5 linked regions of the Ovis aries genome follow. The protein of the gene in region 1 interacts with the protein of each later gene in a biochemical or structural test. Links are inferred from orthologs where the notes say so. Each region holds a gene or a part of one and is shown on either strand. Other genes may lie near its edges.

Region 1 (3,511 bases):
TTAAAATCCTTCAGTGGTTTGCCTTTGCATTTAAGGTAATTCACACTTCTCCGTAAGCCATCATTGATTTAGACTTGTATTCTTATCCAACCTCACCTCATTCCTTTCCTATGAAAGTGTTCATCAGATATTCTAAGCTTTTCCCTCCCTCAAAGACATTGCTCTTGGTATTGCTTCCTTCTCCCTAGAATGCGCTCCTCATCTTTTCAGTACCAGTTCAAATGCCATTTTTCAAAGAAGCTCACTTTACCTCACTATGCTATCTAAAGTAGCCAACTCCAACTTTCCCTCAGTTAATCTCTCATGATTTATTGATATTATGTTATACTGTTAGTCTGTAAGACATTACTGTCCAAAATTTTCTGGTTTGTTTTACTTGTTTACTGTCTCTTTTCCTCCTAGTCCTTCAGGGCATGTTGTAATTTCTCAAACTTGTCAAGTAAACGAAATTCCAATAGTACTAGTTTATTTTTCTTCCTGTGTAGCTTAATAAAATTGTGAGAATAAATGGCAGTATAAAGGCAAATTCAAGGAACATGGTGGACCAATTTTTATACTAGTTATGGAGTTCTGGATAATCTGTTTTCTAATCTGTAAATTGGGGAAAAGACCATCTATAAGGTTCCGTGTTTTTCTTTACTTTGGAAAGATCTTACTACAATAGTTTAGTTTTACATTCAAGGTATTAATATTACTTCACCTTTTGATACTGAGAAATTATTGGTAATGTAGAGATAGTTATCTGAAATTGGCAAACATTTGTATTACTTAAAAAAAAATTTTAACATTTTTATTATTGAATTGATATCAACTATAAAAGAGTCTCCTGGACCTACTTCTTCTTTATACAATATAATGATGGAGTAGGACAAGGAAGTCCCATCTGGATTTTAAGTTCTGTACTTCCATGAGAATGGAATTGTAGTTTTATTTTTTACTAGAATTCTCATGGAGTTATATAACCAAGTTGCCCAGCCTAAGTTATTTCTAGATTGATGGTAAAACAAGTTGTACTGAAAAAAACCACTCAGATGTTTTTTAAATTAAAATATTAACACTGCATTTGAAACAATTTTCTCATAATTAACTTTAAATAAATATTAATATATTTTGGGGTGATACTTAGTACTGAGTTTGTGGGGTTTTTTTAAGACATGTCATTCTATTCATTAAGGTACATGAATTGACTTGGATTTTTAAATTTCATTGTTTCTCCATCTCATTATTAAATAGGAAGTACCATTGGCACAAACTGCACAGCCTACATCAGCTATCGTTCGTCCAGCATCTTTACAAGTTCCCAATGTGCTGCTTACAAGTTCTGACTCAAGTGTCATTATTCAGCAGGCAGTACCTTCACCAACGTCAAGTACTGTAATCACCCAGGCACCGTCCTCCAACAGGCCAATTGTGTAAGTGATTTGGGCCAGTCATTGAATTTTCTGAATTGTTAAGTTTTTGTTTTCATGGTTTTCCTAAGACATTTAATTATTCTAATTGTGGCATTAGTTTTGTGTGTTAATCATTTTTGCATGCTTTTATTTTTGGAAAAAATGCTTGGGTAATTTTTTTTTTAATGTGAATGTTTTCTAACACATTAGAAAACATATACAGAGCTTAATTTTAAAGACAACGCAGATTGTGATTTTAAGATGGTCTCTTATTTTCATGCTATTTTACACAAAACACATAAGATTATCTTTATCACTAGATAACATTTCTTTCAGGGCTTCCCTGGTGGCTCAGATGGTAAAGAATGTGCCTGCAATGTGGGAGACCTGGGTCAGGAAGATCCCCTGGAGAAGGGAATGGCTACCCACTCCAGTATTCTTGCCTGGAGGAATCCCATGGACAGTGGAGCCTGGCAGGCTATTGTCCATGGTGTTGCAAAGAGTAAGACTCAACTGAGTGACTGACACAAAACATTTCTTTCAGTTTTTACAGGGAGCTCTCAAGAGCTTTCTGATAAGAATTTCTCTCAATTAATATATTGCAGTTTGTTCTCTAAGTAAATTCGTAGCTTTCCCCATTTTTTTTCCTTTTTTCCTATACTGCTTGCATACATTGTGCATTTAAGATGCAATTAAAACTAATTAAATTTTACAATGTGCTTTGCAGTGGTTCAGAAATGTTGGTTTAATTACTTGAGCAGCATATATACACCATGTATGATTTTTTGTGGGTATTTTGTTCATTTTATAAGAAATGGTATCAAGTTTGTATCTGTCACATGGGCATTTTCCTTGGGCTGGACCTCTTGTTCTTTTTTTTTTCTTCCAGTTTTATTGAGATATACAGTGAACGTTTAGGGCTTCCCAAGTGGCGCTAGTGGTAGAGAACCCACCTGCCAGTGCAGGAGACATAAGAGATGCTGGTTCGATCCTTGGGCCCGGAAGATCCTCTGGAGAAGGAAGTGGAAACCCACTCCAGGATTCTTGCCTGGAAAATTCCATGGACAGAGGAGCCTGGCAAGCAGCTGTAGTCCATGGGGTTGCAAAGAGTCAGACATGACTGAGCACACCACACACATACACATTACATCCCTAGTACTTATGTGTCTTCCAACTATAAGTTAGTATCTTCTGACCACCTTTGTTACCATACAGGGATGATATTACATTGTTAATGATTATATTCTTCACATTGCGAATTCATTCCTGTGACTCATTTACTTTGCAACTGGAAGTTTGTACCTCTTAATTTCTCTCATCCCTCCATTCCCTTCCCTCTGACAACCACCTGTCTGTTCTCTGTTTCTCTTCTGTTTTGTTTATTAATTTTTTAGATGTCTCCAGAAAATTTATTTTTAAATTATAATAGTAAAAATACTTTTATATTTTTTAGACATCATTGATACGGATTTCCTTTTTCTAATTGCCCTTCTTTTGTTTTCCTTAGTCCTGTACCAGGCCCATTTCCTCTTCTGTTACATCTTCCTAATGGACAAACCATGCCTGTTGCGATTCCTGCATCAATCACAAGTTCTAATGTGCATGTTCCAGCTGCAGTCCCAGTAAGTTTTTAGACTATTTAATATTTTCTTTATAGAAAACTGATCTTTATAATCAGAAAATACACTTGGGGCTGCTTGATTAGTTTATGAAACTGAATTCAACAAAATACTTAGTGTTAAGTAATATTTACTCATTGATATTTACTGTGATAGCATAAATCTTTCGAGGCAAACATAACTGGATAAATAACATTTTTCAATCCTCGAAATCTTAATTGTTTTCCTTTTATTTTTAATATTAAGAACTAATTCCTAAGGTTCAAGAGGGAGAGGACATATGTATACCTATGACTGATTTATGTTGCTGTTTGGCAGAAACCAGCAAAATTCTGTAAAGCAATTATCCTTCAATTAAAAAATAAATTAAAAAAATAAACATAAGGTTGAATTAAAAAAAAAAACTAATTCCTTATTCAACCCATTTCAATTTGCTAGATTTGTAGAATTCAAATATTAACATAGGGGACTTCCCTGGTGGTGCAGTGGCTAAGACTCTGC
Region 2 (4,278 bases), on another chromosome or scaffold:
CACCGGGACGCGGGCGGGGCCTCCGCCAGAGCCAGAGCCAGACCAGTGCCCACCCTCACCCCGGATCTGCTTCCCGGATCCGCATCCGGGGGCCCTCACCTGCTGGGCGCGCGGAGCTGTGCCCCCACCACCTTTGATCAAGGACCCCGAGGCCCAGAGTCCTGCGGGTTGGGAAGACTTTTGCGGGTGCTTTTGCCAGGCTGAGCCCTGGGACTGGAGGAGGCAGCAACTGGACCTCGAAGTGGAGCAGCAGCCTCGGGCTGTGGAGGCTGGCCATGGGGTCGCCCCAGGCGCCAGTTCGCTTTTCGCACCTGCTTGCTGGGGGGTCTCTGTGGGTTGAATTAGGACTGAATCTGTTTCTCCAGGACTTACAAGGGACCCCAGAGTTCATCTCGCCGAATCCCGATTGATTGTTATTTAATACACATGGGTACACAGAGAGGCAAACAAGAAGTGACTTGCCAAGTTGTTTGGGATCCTGTTGATATTAACTTGTGTTTGACCCTGGTGCAGGGCACCTCTCTCAGATCCTGCCTGCTCCCTCCTCGCTCCCCCAGTCCCACTGTGCTTTCAGCAACTCACATTCCCGGTGGTGGGCATCAGCTCCTCCCAGCTTAGGCTGCTGGCCCAGAGGGATTGGGGTGAGGATGGCCGTGGCTCCCCAGATGGCCTGGCAGATGCCACCCAGGGTCTGGAGCCCTGCCTGCCTCCGGGCTGGGGCCGGGGGTGGGGGGGCGTGCTCCCTGCTGACCTGCCTTTGACCCTACAGCTCAGCCATCGACAAGCGGTCAGGGGAAAAGGTGGCCATCAAGAAGCTGAGCCGGCCCTTCCAGTCCGAGATCTTTGCCAAGCGGGCTTATCGGGAGCTGCTGCTGCTGAAACACATGCAGCATGAGAACGTAGGCTGGGCCCGGGGGCTGCTTCGGGGAGGCAGGGACGGGAGGGCAGCCCCAGAGAGGGTCCTGACCAGCCCCTCCGTGTGTGTGCACACGCGCACGCGCACACACGGAAGATACCCCAAGATGCTGACCCAACAGCGCCAGCAGAAAGGGAACCTCCTCCCTGCTCCTCTGGATCCTTGTTCCTCACCTGATTATTAAAACTATGTGCCAGGACCCACCCCGCCTACTTCCCAGGTAAGGTGCAAAGGAATTTTTGGCAGTGGAGCTGAATGAACTTGGTGTCTCACTGTTATGAGGAAATGGGCACCGAGGAACTCCGTAGTTGTTCTAGATCTGAGACCTGGTGCCCAGTATCCTGGTTAATGTTGTTTCCACATAATTACAACAAGGATAATAGAAACCTGTGAGCACTTATGTGCCAGGCACAGCTCTAAGAACTTTGCAGAAACTAGAATGTTTAATCCTCACAGTATCATATAAGTATCATTACTCCCTTATACAGACAGGGAAACTGAGGCACAGAAAGACTTACAGGTTATCAGACGAGATCAGGCACGTTCAGGGTGGTATGGCCGTGGACAGACAGATTATATGGTTAGTCAGTGGCAGAGCTGGGATCTGACCCTAGACAACCTGGCTCCAGGCCCCAGAGCCCGACCTTGAGACTGTCCTGTCTAATTGAAACAGCCAGGAAACTAGTGACCCAGTGCTGAGCCTGGCCCCTAGGCTTTGCTGCAGGATACCTGTATTGGCAGACAAGCGTTTTTAAAAATGTGCTAAGTCGCTTCCATTGTGTCCGACTCTGCGACCCCATGGACTGTGGCCCGCCAGACTCCTCTGCCCATGGGATTCTCCAGGCAAGAACACTGGAGTAGGTTGCCATTTCCTCCTCCAGGGGATCCTCCTGACCCAGGGATCAAACCCACATCTCTTGCGGCTCCTGCATTGCAGGTGGATTCTTTACTGCTAAACCACCCAGGGAAACCCAAGCATTTAAAACAATGAGTTCAAAACACTGTGCATATTTTAAGTCCCATTCCTCCTCGGGCAGCTCCTCCCCATGGCCTCCAGCTGGGAAGTCTTGCCCCAGCTCTGAATCAGCCCTTTGGCAGGCAGCGTTAGATGTGGTGAGACCCAAGGTCAAGGACAGGGAGCCTGCTGGCTGGAAGATCCCTTCTCTGTCCCCTCCTCGATTCCCTTCCCCACTCAAGGTTCCCGGCCTGAGCGGAGACTGGGTGTGCTGTTCGTCCTGACCCCAGACTTGGGGTCAGTGAGCACAGACACGTCCACCATCTCTTATCCCAGCCTGACTCTCCATCACAGTGCACTGCAAATTCCTGCCCAGGTGGAGGAATCCCTCTCCCATCTCTGCCCCTTTAACTGCTTCTTCCCAGAAGGCTGGGAACCTGCCTCCTGCTGGAGGTGCTGTTCTAGGAAAGGGCAGGTGGTCCTGTGCAGGCCTGGGGACTCAGAGGACAAATGCAGGGTGCGGCGGCTGCCTGGCCCTCACTGGCCATCTTCTCTTTAGGTCATTGGGCTCCTGGATGTCTTCACCCCAGCCTCCTCCCTGCGCAACTTCCATGACTTGTGAGTCGGGCTGTGCCGGGTTCCGGGATATTTGCAGACCTTACTTGCCACTGGGGCGGGGTGGGAGGGGCGGCGCGGGCAAGTAAGGGGAGGGTCCAGGTTCTCTCTTCTGTCCCAGGAGGCTGTATGCCTTTGGGCTGGGGAGAGATCCAGCCCAGGGTGGAGAGAACGGCTGGCCTGAAAAGGTGGGAAGGGCTTTTTACGGAGCCTGGCTGACACAGAGCTGTCTGCTCATCTGCTTTGCTTTACCCACCCTCAACACCACGGAGACATCGCCGCCAGTCCCCACACGGTTTGCATCAGCCTCCCTCACCATGTCCTGGTGCAGGTGTGGGTCTGGACTTCAGGACTCTTCCTAGAATGGAGCGAGGATCACAAAGCCTTGGCTGCCCCAGCCAATGGGGATGTTTCTCAGAATTACACAGAACACGAAAATTTAGTTGCTAAATGCACAGCTTTGCTAGTGCAGTACCTGCTAAAATTTAGGAAACTTTGAGAGGGTGGATTTTTTTTTCCAGTCCTATTTCAACTGTAGCCGCAGTTCTCTTTATTAGGATGCTTTTGTTTTCAGTTTAATGCAGTGAGTTTGAATGGATTTTCCCCCCTACAATGCCGGCTGCTGGGCTTAGCATTGGGAATTTAAAGTGGACCAGCTCCTCCAGGACGGACAGTGGTGAATACTGACAGTGATGGTCAGTGCTCTAAGTCTGGGTAGAGCCGGGAACTGCCAGCTGCCTCAGCGGGCTTCACAGAGGAGGTAACTCTGAACTCAGCTCTGAAGGATGAGTCAGTGTTTGCCTGAGGTTGAAGGGCTGAAGGCATCCCAAGGAGAAGGAACTGCGTGGACCAAGGCCATGAAGCACGTGTGAAAGAGGCTGGGCCATCCTGAGATGTGCAGTGAAGCAGTGGCTGATTTAGTTCGGCTGAGTCCAGACTTGATTCCACAGGCAGCCTCAAGGCTATAGAGGTTTTGAGCAGCGAGGTGAGGTGGTCAGATCGGATTTGGGGGATGCACTCTGGCAGCAGCAAGAAAGGACCAGGGACACAGCTCTGGGAGAACTAGACCTTGGTCTAAATGCAGTCAAGGTGACAGGGTCCCAAGAGCTGACTTGAGCCCCATCGAGAGGCAGCACTGTCAGAGTGTTGTATCCCTTGGGAGGCAGTGGTGAGGAGAGCCAGGGATGCCAGGTTCCTACTCGGAATACCAGGTGAAGGAAGAACACATCTTAGGAGAAAGATAATGAACTCCACTTTGGACACTTCAGTTTTGAAAAGCCTATGAACATTCAAGTGTTTAATCAGCAAATAAACCCAGAGTTTAGGAAGGTCTGAGCCAGGGATGTGGATTTGGGCCTGAATAATCACTGGTGGATGAGAGCCGAAGCCCAGGGACAGGCCAGTGTAGAGCCTGCTGCGATGCTGTGGGTTAAGATACCAACATGAAAGAGAAGCTACACGAGAATGTGCAGGCAGAGAGCTGAGGCCGCCTGCCCAGAGGTAGGATTCGCAGAAAATCTTGAGGGGGTGTCAAGCTTTGCACAAGTTCCAGTAGAAAGAAAGGGAGTCGTGGGTGTGTGCTCTGGGCTGGTGGGGCAGGAACAGACACCCTGTTGTCAGGGAACTGTGCATTAAGGCAGTGGGGTGGACAGGTGAGGACCACTCTTTCTAGAAGTTTGATCAGGAGGGAAAGAGAGAGAAGGAGTGGGGTACGCGAAGAAATAAGGTTAAGGGAGGGTGGTTGTGGCACCGCAGGACGTCAGTGAGCTTGTAAGCGGAAAAGAATCAGTTT
Region 3 (4,090 bases), on another chromosome or scaffold:
CCAGCCCCTTCAGTGGCAGCAGCCGGTGCGAACTGCACCTTCCAGGGGCAGAGAGGAAATGCCCTGCGCGGGGGGGAGGGGGGGGAAGTTCGCAGTTCGAGACCCCGCAGTACCTGGGAAAGTCAGAGTGGGCTTCCTGGAGGAGGTCACAGCTGAGGGGGCTACTTCAGCAGGAGGACGGGTACCAGGCCCCAAAGAGGGCCCAGGTGAGGAAAGATTCCTGAGTCCAGCCCTCCCATTCCCCCCGGCGCCGCCGCTGTCCCTGGTCCTGAGGGCGGGTCTCCGGGCCGGCCCAGCAGTTGCGCTTCCCCCAGGGTGCGGCTGAGCCCGGCCCAGGAGCCGCCGCTGCAGAAGGCCTCACCAGGTCGGGGAAGCTTTACTAGGAAGCGAACCACACGGCCAAGGCCGGATGGCCAAACGGGAAGGGAAGCGAGGCCGACCCAGAGTCCAAGGCGCCGCCATCGGCCCACGCGGAAGGGACCCTACCCAACCAAATGCCTAGCTTTTATTGGGGGTATGTAAATATTCATTTACATATTTATCTGAAAAATATGTATATGAATATAAATATATATATGTCCCATGGTTCGCCCTGGCTTCTCTGATTTAGAGGATTCTGCCTTCATTCCAGGAGGAGCTCGCTGGGGGAGGGGAGGGGTGCAAGGCCCGGATGAGGAGCCGGGAGAGGAGGGGTGCCCGCCCCGAGCAGGCTGGAGCGGGGAGACGCAGGACTCAGAGCAGGCGGGTGGAGGAGTGCGGGCGAAGGCAGGTGGGCAGGGGTGGCGCCCTGGGTGCCGGCACGGGAGGGTGCGGGGAGCCGAGCCCGGGAGGTGGCAGCGGCCCGGCCCGGGCGGTGCCGCGCCGAGGACGGACGCGGCGCGCTTGGGGGAGGCGCGCGGTCCCCGGGAGGAGGCCGCGGGCGGAGCCAGGAGCCGTTCCACGGCCGCCGCCCTCCCCTCCCCGGGAAGGCCGCTTTCCGCCCAGCCGCCGCCCAGGGCCGGCTGGAAGCCGCGCGTCCGTCTGCGGGAACCCCCTCCCTGGCCCCGCCCCGCCCCGCCTCCCGCAGCCGGCTGGGGCTCCGCGGGGCGCCGGGAGCGGGGCGGGGCGCGCGCCGAGCTGCGGCCGCTCCGGAGATGTCGGGCCCGCGCGCCGGCTTCTACCGGCTGGAGCTGAACAAGACGCTGTGGGAGGTGCCGCAGCGGCTGCAGGGGCTGCGCCCGGTGGGCTCGGGCGCCTACGGCTCAGTCTGGTAGGGGCGGGCTGGGGCGGGGGGGGGGTCTCCGCGCGCGCCCCTCCCCCCGGTGCGGGGTTCCGACGCGGGGAGGGGCTCGCCCTGCCTCCATCCCCGGGCCTTACGCGGATCCGAGGAATGAACGTGGGGCGGGGGCGCGAGGGAAGCTTCCCCGGCGCCTCTCCCTGGCCGGGGAAGGGGCCTCCCTCTGCCCCTCCAGCCCGGGAGTCCTCCTCCGGGTCTGAATCTGCGGCGTCACAGCTGGCGAAAGGGCCGGTCTCCGTGGCCCTGGATGTGTGAGCAGGCATCTGGGGTTCCCCGGTCAAGGGTCAGGCAACCCTGGGCTCCGATAGATACCCCCGCCCCAGGGTGGGTAGTTTTGCTTGAAAAAGAAGAGCCCTGCTTGGGGGTGGGGCGCCAAGATCCCTGCCTAAGAATGACCTCCAGCTCCTCCGTGAGCCCTGTCCCCTCCCCCGTTGTCCAAGGGGTCTCAGACTCCGAATGGGGTTCAGGCCTGATCAGAGAAGGCTACCATCCCCCACGGTCTTTAGGGGGTCTACACCCCTCCCCATTTTTGCCCCAACCAAGAGAGACCCTGGGGCCTAGACAGGAGGGAGGGTGGGCCTGGGGAGGCCTCTGGACCTGGTGGGGCCCGTCAGGGCTTGCAGGAGCTTCAGTGTTGACAGTGAGGCCAGTTGTGGGTGTGGATGTTGAAGGGTGCCCCCCCAGTCCAGAACCGGTGAGGTGCCAGGTGTCTGTGGGGGCATCGGTATAGGCAGGCAGGCCCCCAGGGGAGAGTTGTTCCTCTAGGACGCGGCAGAAGGTTCCAAGTGGGACTCTTCAGATCACTCCCAGGGCCCAGCGCTGGAGCCTGGAGAAGGGGTTTGGGGTCTCCTGGGCCTCAGGCCTCATGCTGTCACTGGCCAGTCATCGGGAACCCCAGGCCACTCCAGCCGCCCCAGCCAGCGGGCCCTGGCTTCCCCCTAAGGCCTCAGTGGCAGGAGAGGGTGTGTGTGTGTGGCCCCTGGAGGGGGCTGACAGACCCTGCTGGAAGCGGGCCCCCAGGCAGGTGTCACTCCTGGGCTCCCTCCCTCCTCAGATGAGGCTGATGGCCTGGTGTCAATCCCCACAGTCCTCTGCTGACCCTGCAGACAGAAAAGGGTCTGCTCACCTCCCCTGTGAGGGGCAACTCCCCCTGACTCCCACCCCAGAGCGGCTTTCCTCCACCATCGCCCACGAGCATCCCGCCTGCTGCAGGAGGCTCCCTGCGTCGGCGTGGAGGGGTGGGGTGACTGCACAGGACAGCTCGCTGGAGGGAAGGTGGATCCTGAGACAGCGGTGGAGCGGGAGGGCAGCGGGCACACTGAGCAGCTGGGCAGGGAGGCTGCAGGTCTGGGCCTCCGGGGAGTGGGGCTGCAGGAGGGGAAGCGCTCTGGGGACGCCACCCTCTGCTGGACATCCCTACTGTCTAGCCTCTCACTGCCACAGACGGGGATGCAACACACGCCTTTGGTCAGGTTCTCCTCTACGTGTTGAACATTCCGGGGCTTTGGGCGTGGCTTTGGGACCCCTCAGCGGCCTCCCAGCCCCCGTGGCCCACAGGGAGCTGGAGGAACATCCACTCTGGCAACAAGATTCTGGCTGTTTCCCTGGGGTGGCATTTGCACCCTGAGTTGGAGGCAAGAGTCAGGAGAAATTCAGGTGGGCTCAGGAGGCCGGAAGTCAGGGGGTCAGCGGAAGGGGACCTGCCTCTGGAGGAAGGAGCAAGACCCCAGGAGGGGGCCTTCCCTGGTGGTCCAGTGGCTAAGATGCCCTCCTTCCAATGCGGGGAGGCCAGAGTTCAAGCCCTGGTCGGGGGACTAGACCCCACATGCCTCAACTAGGACCTAGCACAGCCAAACAAATATTTTAAAAAAAGAAGACCCCAGGAGGGAGGGGAGAGCCTGGGAGCGAGTGGGGTCTCATGCCTGTGCTGGTGGCCTTCTGGCCAGTGACCGAGGCAGGGCCTGACGCGCGGCCTTGCAGCTCAGCCTACGACACACGGCTGCGCCAGAGGGTGGCGGTGAAGAAGCTGTCGCGGCCCTTCCAGTCTCTGATCCACGCGCGGAGGACCTACCGGGAGCTGCGGCTGCTCAAACACCTGAAGCACGAGAACGTGAGCGGGCGGGCGGGCGAGCGGGGCGGGGGGCGCCGCGCGCGGGGCCGCGCAGCTCTGACTCCCCGCGCCCCCAGGTCATCGGGCTGCTGGACGTGTTCACGCCGGCCACCTCCCTCGAGGATTTCAGCGAAGTGTGAGCGGCGTCGGCGGGGCGGGGGGCGCGGGGGCGGCGGGGGCGCGGGGCGGGGGCCGGGCGGGGCGGCGCGCGGGCGCGGGGTTCATTCCCGGCCGCACCCAGGTACCTGGTGACCACGCTGATGGGCGCCGACCTGAACAACATCGTCAAGTGCCAGGCGCTGAGTGACGAGCACGTCCAGTTCCTCGTGTACCAGCTGCTGCGCGGGCTAAAGGTGGGCGCGGAGCGGGAGCGGGAGGCGGCGCGGGGGCCAGCGCCTGACGCCCCGCCGTCTCCCCCTCGCAGTACATCCACTCGGCCGGGATCATCCACCGGGTAGGTGCGGTGCGCGGAGGCGGCGGTGGTCCTGCGCCAGGGACTCTGCCGGCCTCTCACCGCGCCCGCCCGCCCCGCAGGACCTGAAGCCCAGCAACGTGGCCGTGAACGAGGACTGCGAGCTGCGGGTGAGCTCCCGGGGCAGGGGCTGGGAGGCGGCTGCGGGGAGGTGGAGACCCTCGGGGCTGAAGCCGGGGGTCGCCGTAGATCCTGGACTTCGGACTGGCGCGCCAGGCAGACGAGGAGATGA
Region 4 (3,963 bases), on another chromosome or scaffold:
ATTCTACTCACTCGCTGCGTGACTTTTGGCAAGTGTCTGCTGCTCTCGGACTTGTTTTCCCGGAAGCAAATCGGGGCGGGAGGAGTGGCGTGTGCGTGTGTGTGTGTTTGTGTGTACATGTGATGTGCGGTGTGTCTATGCATGTTGTGCGGGGGCGGAGAGTAGACTATCACCGGGGTTCCCCGAGTTTCGGATTCTCCAAACGCTCGTTCAAACTAGACGCCGAGTTGCCCCTTAAATCCACCTCCTGTAAGAAACCTTTCCGAGGCAAAGATGCGAACCCCCGCACCCTTTCTCCCACGGTCGGGAGGGTGAGGTGGGAGTGCGGAGGGGACTTAGCCGAACACCCAGTTTCAAGCAATGCAAATCACTGGACTTCCAGACAGAGCCAGACAGTCGCTACTGAACTTGACCAGGAGACAAACTTCAGGGCATTCTCAACGTGGGGGGCCGACTCTCACGAACTGCCCCCAAATTTAAAAGCCACTTTCACTCGCCCCCACAGGGGACTTAACAGAGCCACCTTAAGGGCGGTGCTCCCGCCCCCCGGAAGTGCGGGGGGGCCAGGAACCCAGGCGCTCAACGGGCCCGGCCCGCCCCGAGCGGCGGCGAAGTGCCCGCGGGTGACATCGAACCCCCAAGTGGGGAAATACCACCCGCCCCGCGCCCTCGGCCCCAGACACCTGGCTCGGTTCCCCTGGCCTCCTGGGTCCTAGCATCCCTGGCATTCCCATCCGAGCCCTAAACTTCAGCCCACTTCCCTCAGAGGCTGGGAGCGCCGGAGTCCGCCCGGCTCGCGGCAGCCACCGTCACTAGACAGTCAAACCCCAAGACGTCAGCCCACAATGCACCGGGCGGGCCGGGAAAGACGCGTCGGGGAGGGAGGGGGAAGAGAGGGGCGCGAGTCGCGCGGAGCGGGTTGGGGGGAGGAGGAGAAAGAAGGGCCCAACTGTAGGAGGGCAACGGAGCATTACCTCATCCCGTGAGCCTCCGCGGGCCCAGAGAAGAATCTTCTAGGGTGGGGTCTCCATGGCGACGGGTGGGCCCGCCCCCCTGAGAGCGACGCGAGCCAATGGGAAGGCCTTGGGGTGACATCATGGGCTATTTTTAGGGGTTGACTGGTAGCAGATAAGTGTTGCGCTCCGGCTGGATAAGGGCTCAGAGTTGCACTGAGTGTGGCTGAAGCTGCGAGGCGGGAGTGGAGGTGCGCGGACGCAGGCAGGCAGACAGGCACAGTCAGTCGAGAAGGACAGCAAATCCTATTTTCCAATTTCTCTCCAACTGCCCGGAGCTAGCGCTTGTGGCTCCCGGCCTGGTGTTTTGGGGAGCGCCGGGAGAGCCCCTTCGCCAGCCGCCCCCAGGCGGAGAGCCCCGCTGCGCGGGCGCTGCTGACAGCGCGGAGAGCGGCCACTGTCCGCCCGGGGAAGTCCGGAGAGCGGCTGCAGCGGCAAGAACTTTCCCGGCCAGGAAGACAGGAGACAAGTGGCCGCCGGGTCCCGGAACGAACTTTTGCAAATCTTGCCTCCGCCCGAAGCTGCCGCGGCGGCGGTGAAGAAAAAGAGGCGGCGGAGAGAGGAGGACGTGCGCTCCGCTTCGCTCGCACCGGTTGCTGAACTTGGGCGAGCGCGAGCCGCGGCTGCCGGGCGCCCCCTCCCCCTCTCAGCGGAGGAGGGGACAGTCTTCCGAGTCGGGGCGGCGGACACCCGCCGCCGGCAGGCAAACGCGGGGTCCGCGCTCCCTGCTATCACCGGGAAGCGAGTTCGTCCGCGGGCTCTGAGGAACCGCTGCGCTCGAGAGAGCTCCGTGAGTGACCGCGACTTTTCAAAGCCGGGCGGCGCGCGCGAGCGGACAAGTAAGAGCGCGGGCGGCGTCTTAACCCTGCGATCCCCCGGACCGAGCTGGTGAGGAGGGCGCCGGGGGCGGGGGCTGCCAGCCGGCGGGGGCGCGCGCTCTTCCAGAAACTTTCCTTGCTCACTGCCCGGGGAGGCGCGGGTGTCCCCCGCTTGCCAGCGCGCTGTTGCGGCCCCGAAACTTCTGCGCGCAGCTTAAACTAAGCCCACGCGAAGTGACGGACTGTTCTATGACTGCAAAGATGGAAACGACCTTCTACGACGATGCCCTCAACGCCTCGTTCCTCCAGTCTGAGAGCGGCGCCTACGGCTACAGTAACCCCAAGATTCTGAAGCAGAGCATGACCCTGAATCTGGCCGACCCGGTGGGCAGCCTGAAGCCGCACCTCCGGGCCAAGAACTCCGACCTCCTCACCTCGCCCGACGTTGGGCTGCTCAAGCTGGCGTCGCCCGAGCTGGAGCGCCTGATCATACAGTCCAGCAACGGGCATATCACCACCACGCCGACCCCCACCCAGTTCCTGTGCCCCAAGAACGTGACGGACGAGCAGGAGGGATTCGCCGAGGGCTTCGTGCGCGCCCTGGCCGAACTGCACAGCCAGAACACGCTGCCCAGCGTCACGTCGGCGGCGCAGCCGGTCAGCGGGGCGGGCCTGGTGGCCCCGGCGGTGGCCTCGGTGGCGGGCGGCAGCGGCAGCGGCGGCTTCAGCGCCAGCCTGCACAGCGAGCCGCCGGTCTACGCCAACCTCAGCAACTTCAACCCCGGCGCGCTGAGCAGCGGCGGCGGGGCGCCCTCCTACGGCGCGGCTGGCCTGGCCTTTCCCGCGCAGCCCCAGCAGCAGCAGCAGCAACCACCGCAGCCGCCGCACCACCTGCCCCAGCAGATACCCGTGCAGCACCCGCGGCTGCAGGCCCTGAAGGAAGAGCCGCAGACGGTGCCCGAGATGCCCGGGGAAACGCCGCCCCTGTCCCCCATCGACATGGAGTCCCAGGAGCGGATCAAGGCGGAGAGGAAGCGCATGAGGAACCGCATCGCTGCTTCCAAGTGCCGGAAAAGGAAGCTGGAGAGGATCGCGCGGCTGGAGGAAAAAGTGAAAACCTTGAAAGCGCAGAACTCGGAGCTGGCGTCCACCGCCAATATGCTCAGGGAACAGGTGGCCCAGCTTAAACAAAAAGTCATGAACCACGTTAACAGCGGGTGCCAACTCATGCTAACGCAGCAGTTGCAAACGTTTTGAGGCGAGACTGTCGGGGGCTGAGGGGCAACGGAGAAAAAATATAAATAACACAGAGAGACAGATTTGAGAACTTGACAAGTTGCGAGAGAGAAACAGAGAAAAAAACAAAAGTGTCCGAGGACTAAAGCCAAGGGTATCCAAGTTGGACTGGGTTGCGTCCTGACGGCGCCCCCAGTGTGCACGAGTGGGAAGGACTTGGCGCGCCCTCCCTTGGCGAGGAGCCAGGGAACGGCCGCTCGCGGGCTGCCCGGGTTTGCGGACGGGCTGTCCCCGCGCAAACAGAACGTTAGACTTTTCTTTAACGTTGACCAAGAACTGCATGGACCTAACATTCGATCTCATTCAGTATTAAAGGGGTGGGGTGGGGGAGGGGGTTGCAAACTGCAATAGAGACTGTAGATCGCTTCTGTAGTACTCCTTAAGAACACAAAGGGGGTGGGGGAGGGGAGGCGGGAGGGAGGTTTGTGAGAGCGAGGCCCAGCCTGCAGATGAGCTCTTTCTGGCCTGCCTTCCATAACTGTGTATGTACATATATATATTTTTTAATTTGATGAAAGCTGATTACTGTCAATAAACAGCTTCATGCCTTTGTAAGTTATTCATGTTTGTTTGTTTGGGTGTCCTGCCCAGCCTTGTTTGTAAATAAGAGATTTGGAGCACTCTGAGTTTACCATTTGTAATAAAGTATATAATTTTTTTTATGTTTTGTTTCTGAAAATTCCAGAAAGGATATTTAAGAAAATACAATAAAATATTGAAAAAGTTACCCCTCCCCCAACCTCTTTTCTGCATTATCTATAGATTACTTGTCTAGGTGGAGTTGAAAGAGTTGAGTGTCAATTAAAATCACTGTGGGTGCTTCTTACTAGCAGGCC
Region 5 (3,964 bases), on another chromosome or scaffold:
TGACAACTCTCCCATCATTTCACACCTTCAGACCTGCTGGAACCAGATCCAGAGGCTAGCTGGGGGAGACACCTCTGAAGAAGGTCACTGCCAACAAATCACAGGTCCTAGGGGCCCTCAGCATTGCACTCCCTTCCCTCCATGTATGACTCTGCCATTCTCTTCTGAGAAGACCCAGGAATGAATGCTCCTTTGTAAAACCACAGCTCTGACAGCCAGACCTCCTGAGTTTCCCATAATCCTTGATGGTGGCAATTTTTGTTCAAGTGGCTTGAACTCTGCTCCAGGCTCACCAGCCAGTCTTCTCCCCTCTGTCACTGACCTGCCAGGGCCAGAGGCCTGCACATGGCCATCTCCTCCCATGTCCCTCCTCGGCTTCTGGCTGCTGCTGCTGCTGCTGCTAAGTCGCTTCAGTCGTGTCCGACTCTGTGCGACCCCACAGACGGCAGCCCACCAGGCTCCCCCGTCCCTGGGATTCTCCAGACAAGAACACTGGAGTGGGTTGCCATTTCCTTCTCCAATGCATGAAAGTGAAAAGTGAAAGTGAAGTCGCTCAGTCGAGTCCGACTCTTCGCGACCCCATGGACTGCAGCTTTCCAGGCTCCTCCGTCCATGGGATTTTCCAGGCAAGAGTGATGGAGTGGGTTGCCATTGCTTCTGGCAGCAACCCTGAAACTGCTTCACAGTGAGCAAAGGAATCCAAGGTCCATTCCCCTCGTCTCCACGTCCTCGCCGCCTCCGCCTCCCAGTCCTGGACGCCAAGGCCGCGGCTTCCCCTCGCCCTGGCCCTCCCCTCATGGACCTTCTCCGCCTTCCTCCAGGCCGACTCGCCGCTGTCAGTCTGCACCTGCAAGCCCAGAGGCCCGGCTTTCGGTCCCGTCAGTACCCCTTTCCATCGCCTCCCAGCGCGGTGCTCGGCTGCCGCGCCGCGGGCACCGGTAAAGCGCAGTCGGCGCGCCGAGCCCGGCCTGCGTCATAAGGAAGCGGAGCGATCAGCTGCGCGGCCGCCAAGCGCCGCTCCCCGAAGACCTGGTCAACCAGCGCCGGGCTCGGCCCGCCTCCCCTCCGGAGCCGCCCGGCAGTAGCCCCAGCCCCGCGCGCGCGCGATTGGCCGCGCCCGCCCAGCTCTCCGCGCGCTGATTGGCCGGCGCGCGGGTCGGTCAGACCGGGCGCCGCGGCGGCGGCTGCAGCGGAGGAGAAGCAATCCAGACCGGAAGGGTCCTAGGCGCCCCGGCGCCCCTCACAGCCTTTGCGGCGGCGGCGACGGCGGCGGCGGGGCGGAGCGGAGCAGAGCGGGGCGGGGCGGCCAGGCGAGCCCGGGGCAGCGGAGCCGCGAGCAGCTAGCGCGCTGCGCCGCCAGTCCGCCCGCCTGCCCTCTCCCTCTGGCGCGGCGGCGGGGAGGCGAGGTGAGCCCGGCCGGCGGGTTAGGCCCAGCGGGGACTCTGGGACCGAGCCTCGCCGGGGAGGGGCGGCGGGAAGGCCGCGAGGCCAGGCTCCGCGGGGACAGGGGGGTGCGGAGCGGGAGGACCGGGTTCTGTGGGGTCTGCGGGGTGCTGGCGACCCCGGCCGCAGCCCCTCTTCCTCCAGGCTGCCGCAGTCACCCCCTTACGCCCGGCTGTCCGCGCCCCAGAGCTGCGGGCTCGCTCCCTGCTCTGGCCCCGGCAGACCTGCTGTAGGGTCTGTGGGCGCCCCCTCCCCCGCCCCGATTGTTTGGCACCCAGCTGCATACCTCCTCCCGGATGCTCAGAGCCTGGGATCTGATTCCTGCGACCTTGGCGAAGGCACTGATCCTTGCTGTTCCTCTGTTTTCCCCTCGGCAAAGTGGGGGAAATGTCTACCCTTTTGGACAGGATTGTTGTCAAGCTCTATGAATGTGTGTGAAAGCCCCTGGGCGGGAGCCCGCCCGGTGCACACTTGTGGAAAATGAGCGGGATACTGCTCCTTGCTGGCTTGAGTGTAGCAGAGTCCGCCCAGAGTCCCCCATCCTCATGCTCCCCAAGTGCCTTGTCATTGCATACTCAGTGCCCAGCAGTGCCTGAGCGGGCCCTGACCAGCTCACCCCCAACAAGTCCCCCAACCCGGAGCAGTGGTCTCCTAACCTACCCATCTTACTGGCCTTGAACATTCAGCCCTGTTTACCTCAGGACCTTTGCACTTGTATCCAGTGATTGGAGTTGCCTCCCGGATCTTTGCACAGCTGACTCCTTCTGGTCCTTCTCACATGTTCCAATTTACAGAATCCTTTCCTTGACCTCTCTTTCTCCTCCTTTAGTCTTTCTGTCTCATTACATTAATTTTCTTCCCAGTATCTGGTTTGAAACTATTCTGTTGATTCGCCTGTTTATTTTCTGTCTCTCCCATTAGGATTATAGCTTTCTGAAAACAGGTAGTTGTCTGATTTGTCCACTGCTTTATCCCCAGTGCTTAGAAAGCACACAGTAAGTATTCAGTAATATCAGTTAAGTGAGTAAGTGAGTGAATGAATGACCCTGCCAGCCTGTTGCCTCTGCTTTCTCTGTTTAGTGACTTCTGACTAACTTGTGAAACTTACATGCAGATGATAGGTTGCTTTAGTTTTGTGGAACATTTTAATGTCCTTGACCCTTTTATTTGGTAACTATCAGAACAAGCTGTAATATAAAATCTGACATTTTTATAATGTTTTCGCTCTAACTTCCTTCCTCGCATTCAGGACATATTGACTGAATTCTACATTATCCAGGTCAGCTTTCTGCTCGGCCCTGGGGACACAAAGGCAGTAGCAACAGGGTCCCTTCCTCCAGAGAGCCCAAGAGCCCAGTAGAGAAAGGAGACATGCAGACAGTGCTCGGACAGCTTGCTGTATAGCAGGGCTGTGCTGTGGAAACTTGGAGGAGGCGGTGGTGCTTGGCTGGTGCTGGAGTTGGCTTGAATGGTGATGAGAAACTTGTCAGGTCTAGGGGAAGACAAGACGTGGGGAAGGGCAGGGTGAAGGAAGAACTTCAGCCCAATCAGTTGAGTTCACTCGCTCAATCATGTCGCTGTTTGGGACCCCATGGACTGCAGCACACCAGGCTTCCTTGTCCATCACCAACTCCCAGGGCTTGCTTGAACTCATGTTCATCAAGTCGGTGATGCCATCCAACCATCTCGTCCTCTGTCATCCCCTTCTCCAATATTCAGCCCAATGTTGGGGTCAAAAACCAGCCTGTGGGGCCAGGTGTGAGAGATTAGAGTAGTGGAGACCCTGGAGAACCAGACACCACTTACCCAGCAATTTTTAGAAAGAAGCCAGAACTTGAGATTTGTATCTGCACTCTCTTCATGTTCAATTGTTGGCAGTAGCTTATTTTAAAATGTTTTCAGTGCTGTGAGCCAAGCAAAATGCAGACCTCATTCAGTTTTATTTCAGGATTGTCGGACTCCGGACTTCAAGGCAGGTTGTTTAGGAGGGAAGAGTTGCAGTGAGCTAGAAGGGTAGCCCACGACTAGGGCAGCTCGGCCCTGTTTGTCCAGGAACTCTCTTTTGGCACTGGAGCCCTGCGATAGCAGCTAGGAAGCCTGCTAGCCTCCACTTTCTACACAGGAGGAAGCAGAGGCTCCCAGGGTTTCGGCAGTCTGTTTTGTAGCAAGCAGCTGGAAAGTGAAATTTGAACCCAGGTCTCCCGCAGATCAGCATTCTTTCCTGAGTCCCTTAGCTCTGAGTATTCTCTTTGGCTCTTAGTTTGTTCTGGAAGAATAAAATCCAATCTAGATATCGTTTCCCTTCATTTATCCCTTTTTTTCCCCTTCAAGAGGATCCTACAGGGTTAAAAACAATCCTATTTTGGCATAGTCTGTCGCTGAAGAGCGTTCTTTTCCTGAGTTTCTTGAGGAGAATCCACTCCTGAGAACTTAACTTTTCAGGATGCCACTTTAAATAATTTGTTGACAGATTAAAATGTGTTTATTTGGCCTTCCTAAATAAATGTTAGAAGGTACACCT

Evidence for each region.
Region 2: of the proteins of ATF2 (region 1) and MAPK13, one has a biochemical effect on the other in vitro, tested with the Homo sapiens proteins (2 studies listed by BioGRID and IntAct). The link is inferred for Ovis aries from reciprocal best matches to the Homo sapiens genes ATF2 and MAPK13.
Region 3: of the proteins of ATF2 (region 1) and MAPK11, one has a biochemical effect on the other in vitro, tested with the Homo sapiens proteins (4 studies listed by BioGRID and IntAct). The link is inferred for Ovis aries from reciprocal best matches to the Homo sapiens genes ATF2 and MAPK11.
Region 4: the proteins of ATF2 (region 1) and JUN form a complex in vitro, tested with the Homo sapiens proteins (4 studies listed by BioGRID and IntAct, with this or other methods). The link is inferred for Ovis aries from reciprocal best matches to the Homo sapiens genes ATF2 and JUN.
Region 5: of the proteins of ATF2 (region 1) and MAPK9, one has a biochemical effect on the other in vitro, tested with the Homo sapiens proteins (4 studies listed by BioGRID and IntAct, with this or other methods). The link is inferred for Ovis aries from reciprocal best matches to the Homo sapiens genes ATF2 and MAPK9.

The regions. Positions count from the first base shown.
Region 1 is NC_056055.1:134,980,385-134,983,895, forward strand, and holds part of ATF2 (cyclic AMP-dependent transcription factor ATF-2), read left to right. Parts: intron 1-1,233; coding exon 1,234-1,412; intron 1,413-2,898; coding exon 2,899-3,013; intron 3,014-3,511. UniProt on the Homo sapiens protein: Transcriptional activator which regulates the transcription of various genes, including those involved in anti-apoptosis, cell growth, and DNA damage response.
Region 2 is NC_056073.1:10,181,797-10,186,074, forward strand, and holds the start of MAPK13 (mitogen-activated protein kinase 13), read left to right. Parts: upstream 1-1,467; 5' UTR 1,468-1,714; coding exon 1,715-1,759; intron 1,760-2,430; coding exon 2,431-2,489; intron 2,490-4,278. UniProt on the Homo sapiens protein: Serine/threonine kinase which acts as an essential component of the MAP kinase signal transduction pathway.
Region 3 is NC_056056.1:225,554,459-225,558,548, reverse strand, and holds the start of MAPK11 (mitogen-activated protein kinase 11), read left to right. Parts: upstream 1-1,283; 5' UTR 1,284-2,141; coding exon 2,142-2,551; intron 2,552-3,222; coding exon of another isoform or gene 3,223-3,256; coding exon 3,257-3,386; intron 3,387-3,463; coding exon 3,464-3,522; intron 3,523-3,627; coding exon 3,628-3,739; intron 3,740-3,810; coding exon 3,811-3,840; intron 3,841-3,920; coding exon 3,921-3,968; intron 3,969-4,047; coding exon 4,048-4,090. UniProt on the Homo sapiens protein: Serine/threonine kinase which acts as an essential component of the MAP kinase signal transduction pathway.
Region 4 is NC_056054.1:33,493,861-33,497,823, reverse strand, and holds JUN (transcription factor Jun), read left to right. Parts: upstream 1-1,160; 5' UTR 1,161-2,080; coding exon 2,081-3,088; 3' UTR 3,089-3,854; downstream 3,855-3,963. UniProt on the Homo sapiens protein: Transcription factor that recognizes and binds to the AP-1 consensus motif 5'-TGA[GC]TCA-3'.
Region 5 is NC_056058.1:713,795-717,758, forward strand, and holds the start of MAPK9 (mitogen-activated protein kinase 9), read left to right. Parts: upstream 1-1,162; 5' UTR 1,163-1,406; intron 1,407-3,964. UniProt on the Homo sapiens protein: Serine/threonine-protein kinase involved in various processes such as cell proliferation, differentiation, migration, transformation and programmed cell death.